Bombyx mori: one gene and its partner. The protein of the gene in region 1 purifies or fractionates together with the protein of each later gene. This does not show direct contact. Links are inferred from orthologs where the notes say so. Each region holds a gene or a part of one and is shown in the gene's direction. Other genes may lie near its edges.

Evidence for each region. Proteins that work in one complex are often made in the same cells at the same time.
Region 2: the proteins of COP9 signalosome complex subunit 8 (region 1) and cullin-2 purify together in Homo sapiens (affinity purification with mass spectrometry; 4 studies listed by BioGRID and IntAct, counting the BioPlex papers as one, with this or other methods). This does not show direct contact. The link is inferred for Bombyx mori from reciprocal best matches to the Homo sapiens genes COPS8 and CUL2.

What each region holds. Positions count from the first base shown.
Region 1 is NC_085110.1:11,097,224-11,099,853, reverse strand, and holds part of COP9 signalosome complex subunit 8, read left to right. Parts: intron 1-207; coding exon 208-458; intron 459-1,107; exon of another isoform or gene 1,108-1,540; coding exon of another isoform or gene 1,541-1,729; intron 1,730-2,310; coding exon of another isoform or gene 2,311-2,456; intron 2,457-2,630. Other genes in the region: chitin synthase A, read right to left, coding at 1,541-1,729, 2,311-2,456. UniProt on the Homo sapiens protein: Component of the COP9 signalosome complex (CSN), a complex involved in various cellular and developmental processes.
Region 2 is NC_085129.1:21,461,517-21,465,485, reverse strand, and holds the start of cullin-2, read left to right. Parts: upstream 1-1,169; 5' UTR 1,170-1,322; intron 1,323-3,969.

The sequences.
Region 1 (2,630 bases):
TGAGTATTATGTGAGGGAATATCCAGCAATGTGAAATGAGTGTTATATGAACATCGTCAGTCCTTTCCGACCTTTAATCACCAGTCAGTATTTACTTGTAATTTGGGCTTAAAATTTACCACCATCCATTCTATTTCTGTCTTGACGCACATTGATGAAGTAATCTAAATAAAAAATATACAATCACATTTTTTTTCATCTTCACAGAAAATGTTCGAGAAAGGACTCTAAACCTTATCGGAAGATCGTACAGTTCCATAAAAATAGATAAACTGATCTCAATGATTGGTCTCAGCAGGGAAGCCACATTACAAGTCTGTCAAGATCGCAGGTGGACTCTACATGATGATGGCATGACAGTGAATCCCTTACCCCCAGCACAACCAGCCCCATTGCATACTTCTAGTGAAGATCAACTTTTCAAACTAACAGAATTTGTGTCATTCTTAGAAAATTAAGTAAGTTTCGAAAATAAATCAGTTTCTAGATTAGATCTTAATTAAAATCCCAAAGTTGGCTTTGAAGTAAGCAACTCAGCCTGTAGAGTCTAAACCTTAACTCTCAACCCCTTGAGGGAAAGTGGCATTAGCTATGATAGTTAATAATACTAAATGCCTCCATTTTGTGTCATCAAATTACTTCAAGAACTGCAATAAGTTAATTGATAATTTGTTAAAATAAAACATCTTATATAAATTGCAATACTATTCTGTTTTGCAAGTTATCTTTTGCAAGTAGGTGGTGTGTTTCTAAATACCCATAAACTTTTTCAATATGAACATTTTGAATTGTAATTGGTATTAATAATAATATATCATAGATCAGATATCTATGCTATCTTTTTTAGGAAAATATTGTATTAAATAATAGATCTATAAGTTTTAGCTGAAACCCAAATAATAATACAGAAAAATAAAACACTAATCCAAATATTCATCAAAAGCTAATGAAACTTGGATAAAAAAATTACTACATAATTGCACACAAAGCAGACGGTTCTCTGTTGCATACTTCAAAGCCTGCTCTTAATCGAAAGCTATTTAATCATTCAAATATATAAATGTAGTTACAACAAAGGCACATTTTAACTAAAATTTCTGGTTTTAGGAAAATATTTCGAATTTGAGACTAAATTTGGTCTTCAGTTCATTCAATTGCGATTGCAATATCCAAAAGAACTTAGAGGTTAAAATAAAAGAATGTCATTTATATTTAATCTCATTTATTAACAAAATTGGAAGTCTATAATTGGTAAAAAAAAATGGTTTTCTTAACTTCTACTGAGATTATAATGGAATAAAAAAAAACGTAAAATAAGTTGGCAGTGTAAATTGAAAGAGCTAAATAAATTCTTAATTAAAATAAAGCTATTAATTCTAAAATAGTTTTCAGTGACTCCTTTTTACTCCAGTCACACTAGTAAATTCAAAAAGATTTTTAAAATATCACAAGCAGTTATTTTTAATTGTAATCTCATAACTCCTATCCTTTTTTAAAGTAAGAATAAGTCACTTGGGACGATTGTTTTGGCAACTCTTAGTTAAAACCTCCCTTGGAATGAAACTTGGTTTTGTCTTGGCTGAAGTCGCATGGAATTTGAGTCATCGTCGTCCCCGAGTGAGGCTTCGTAGGCCCTGTTGATCTGTCCTCCGTTGGGCTCCGAGAATACATCCTTCACTGAAATATTAGCATTCGATGCTCTATGACGAGGTCCAACGTTATTATTGAGCTGAAAATAGTACAATCATTAGAATACCATGGTTACGGAAAAACTTAATAACAATATAAATCATAAAACTAAATAATAAAATAATTAAAAATATAATATTGTTTAAATACTATACTAAATACTGATGGAGATATTTGCGGCAGGGATGGGTTTCACCATTCTGCCTATTTCTGCTGTGAAGCAAACATGTGATCCCGTGCAGTTGTGTGGTAATGTCGAAGTGTTAATACCTCATATCTGACGCATACGTGATGTTGATGGGCTGTTTTTTTTTAAGCTTAGGTGGACGATCTCACGGTCCATCTGATGTTAAGTGAGTAAGTGCGGGTTTCATTTTTATTACACGATGTTGTTCCTTCATTGTGCAAGTCAATCGTGAACATTTGTTGAGTACGTAACTCAGTACAAAAATTGGTATCGGCCTGGAATTCGAACACCGTTGCATCGCAAGATACGAATGCACTGGACGTCTTATTCTTCAGGCCACGACGACTTTAAACAACTTTAACTATTTACCACGACAGTAGGCGGACCCTCTGCCCATCTTCAGCAAAAAAAACAGCATGTTAACTATTTCATACCATTCCAGTAACACCGTATTCATTATTAGCGCCAAGTGTCTGCATTTGCGACTTCCTTCTTTCTGCCATTACAGAGTTACGACGGGTCTCTAAAGCTTTCAATGTCTCCCTTCTCAATGTCATTTTACGATTTAAAACTGGGGTACCTGAAATAATCATAAAAAGCCCTTCAGTGCCTATTATAATTATGAACACTTAATATTATAATAGACATTAGTATGGGATGAGTTTCATATCACCCAGGACGGTGCACGGTGGCGCAACATTACAAGAAAGATACTTCTAGAATGTGGCGGTCACAATTCTTATAAATGAGGAAT
Region 2 (3,969 bases), on another chromosome or scaffold:
AATATTTTGTGTTAACTATGATGCCCTAACTTTAAATCCATCTATTATGTTTGATTTCGGCCTAAGTAAACAAGATCTTTCTATCAATGCCAAATTTGTTGATATTATTGACAGTGACAGCCGATGGAAAAATTGTCATTTAATTTTTAGCGATTCCTCCAAACCCGGTCCCGAGGAGTGTGTGGGGGTCGGCATTTTCCATCAACAGTTTGGCATTGTTCAGAAAATAAAATTGCCTCCAGAGACTTCAGTATTTACTGGAGAATGTTTTGGTCTTCTGAAGTCTCTGGAGTACATTTTAATGATGAAGCTTAAAAAGTCAATAATTTTAACTGACGCTAAAAGTGCCCTCCAAGCCTCGGAACGTTTTCCTTTTAACAGTAACCGAAATAATCATCCTGTGATTATTGCATGTCGTGATTTATTGTATCAATGTTGCATCAAAAATTACACAGTTTCCTTTGCTTGGATTCCGGGGCATTCGGGTATCTTTGGCAATGCCAAGGCCGATAGCCTTGCCAAAGCTGCGGTCAATGATGGAGATTTGGTTCCGTACAAAAACTTTTGTTGTGATTTAGCTCTGCTTCCTAAATTCCAGTTATTGAATTCTTGGACTCACATTTGGCGTTCTTCAAGACAGACTAAATTACAGCACGATCCAGGTGGATATACCTCCTAAACCGTGGTTTTCAAATCTGACGTTTGGTAAAGCTATCACATCGACCCTTATTCGCATGAAGCTGGGCCATGCATGCATTCCCTTGCATTTGGCAAGGGAATGCACCTTTTGCCTAGTGATATATGTGAGTGTGGCAATGACGTTGGGGATTTTAATCATATATTCTTTGCCTGTCCTCGAAATGACCGTTCCGCTTTTATTTCCTCACTTTTGTCCATTAAAATTCCTTTTCCTACTTCAATTTCTATCCTTTTATCTAATATCAATATTGATGTATATAGAATATTAGCTAGTTTCATTTTTCATAATAATATAAAATTGTAACCATTTATGTACTTAGTTTATATAATATATATACCTGATCCTTTTTCCAAATTCCGTTCCAATTTCAAATCCAAAAAATAAATCCATTAACACACTTCCTAACCTTTTTGCGTGGCTGACGCACAAACCGTGCAGGCCAAGAAATGGGAGAAAAAAAAAAAAAAAAAAACATTGCATTTGCGCCAGAGACGTCAATGTCAAAAATAAGCCTGACAAAGAATTACGGACGAAATAATATAATTTGTACATAAAATATAAACAAAATATTCAACAGGCCATTAAAACTTCGCATAGGAAATTAATTCACGAAAAGTATATTGTAAGTACCTTTCCTTTGGATTATAAATATTAACTTTGATTTGCACATCTGTCATTGCAATAAGTACATACATCGAGATTGATTATTTTGGTTTTTAATGCTGAGTAATTCTACGTCGGGAGCCGGGCATTGGCATACAGACACCTTTGTCACATTGCCAAACAAATATATGATCGTGCAAAGTACGCATTTTACGTATTTAAAAGAAATCAAAATTGTTTCAACCCATTTAAATAAGTTAACCCCATTTGCCATCTATTCTTTTGAATCTATACGAATAATTTGCATAATTAGACAGCAACATTCGTCTATCAAGAATCAGTTCTATATTATTGAAGAAGACTTGCAGATTTTGTAAACATAGAACATAAGGACTTGGCACATAACACAGCTTATTGTAGTCCATTTCGTGTTAAGTAGATCAAAACAGCAAACGGTATTAAACCACGCATACAATTCAGGTATACAGCCCAATAGAATACATAAAATGAGAATTGCTTAATATTTACACTTAGGAAAACATAATGAGGTGACAAATACCTAATCCTCCATATTCGGATCATGATTTGCCAAAAATAATAAAGAATAATTGGACATGTATTATAAATATCCCCTTGTGACTAATAAGACCTTCCCTTGCTTTAGATCACAAGCTAAATAAAATATGAATGTACTTAGTGTTTATGCTCAAGCGTAGCTCCATCCATCATAACGGAACTGGTCCTTTACACCACCTAATTTATAGCAACGGTCAACCCACTGCAAAATAGATTTTGAGATTAGTCATAATGAATCTGGCCGAACAAAGTAAATAGAATAATTTGGGTAATAACCTGAAAAAGTTCTCAACTCTTCTCTTCACTGTTAGACACATAGACACAATATTCCAACAAAAATACTTGCTGTGTAAAAGATCTTCCTTTTTAAAATTTCTAGTATCAAACTGATATAACTTAAAAATAAACTGAATATTTTGATAATTGTAATTGCGATTTGATTCACATAATATGTATGTTTTATGGGATAGATGGGTATAGCAAATGTGGTTGCTCTAGTGTGTAGAAGCTACTAGATCCCACAGACACAACAAAATGGATACCTCTGCTACCTAAGTCTAACCTAACTGCTTTTTTAAATAATCCTCCACAAGCATTTTTTTTTTATTTATTATTTATTTAATATATTTTGTACACACAGCTGTTAGAAAAGACACGTCAATAAGGATACAGAGTACAAGGGCACTACTTATTTCATGCTGAAATCTCTTCCAGTAGGCCCGCAAAAGGAAAGAAGAATTAGGAACACAAACCTAGTGCATACAGTAAACATTACATATAATAATATATACATATTACAAGATACAAAACAATATATATGCATACAAATACACACACACACACACACATGCATATATATAACATACACACATATACTTACTTTATATTATAATACATTATACAAATATATATAATTTATTTAAGATGGTAAGGATAAATAATGTTCCTTAACAGATTTCTTGAACGCTGCTATGGTTTTGCACGCTCGTATGCTTGGAGGGAGGGAATTCCAAAGTATAACTGCTTGTACAGAAAACGATTTTGCGTAAGCATGTGTTTTATGAACAGGGCAATTGAGGAGAGTTTTAATGTGGGTTCTACAAGGAGCAATGGAGGGACGGGCATAGGTAAAGCGATCACGTAAATATTGTGGGTAGTTAGGATTATGTAGGATATTAAATAGGAAGCACAACATTCTAGTATTTCTGCGGAAACGGACTGGGAGCCACTTGAGCTTTTTGCGAAATTCAGAAATAGAATTCAGAATTTTTTGAGACCAAAAATAAAACGGATGCACAAATTTTGCAAACGCTCAAGCTTATTGAGAAGCTCCTCAGTGACATCCAAGTAGCAAGCATCAGCGTAGTCCAAAATGGGTAAAATGAGACTTTGGACAAGAGAAATTTTAGTTTCCAAAGGCAAAAAATATTGGAGACATTTGAGTGAATGGAATGTAAAGTTAACTTTACTGCTAACATTGTTAACCTGCTCATTCCAGCTTAAGAAAGAGTTAAAGGTAACGCCAAGGTTTTTAACAGTTTCACTAAAGACAATTGGTTGGCCATTCAATATGAGAGATCCAATTGCAGAATGATTTAATGCACGAATAGCATATCTACTACCAATTATGATGGCCTGTGTTTTGTTGGCATTGAGTAAGAGTCCATGAGACGTTGCCCATTCATGAATGTTTTCCAAATCACAATTAACATCCTTGATTGCTCCATCAATTTCACTAGGTGCGCAGTGATGGTAAATTTGCAAATCATCTGCATAAAGATGAAAATTTGAGGATATCAAAGTAGTGACTGTGTTAATAAACACTGAGAAAAGAAGCGGAGAGAGAACACCACCCTGAGGCACGCCAGCATCAACAGCAACCCAGTCTGAGAAGGATTCATTTTGACGTGTGCGTTGTGAACGGCCCCGAAGATATGAATCAAACCACCTTAGGGCAGAAGTAGTAATGTTTTCGCGGAGCAGCGCCGCGTCCTCGTTGCAAAAATAGGACCGGACTTGTCGCTTCCGACCGTCGTGGCTGCGATGCTCGGCAGCGATGAGTCCTGGCAGGCGATGCTCGACTTCTGCGA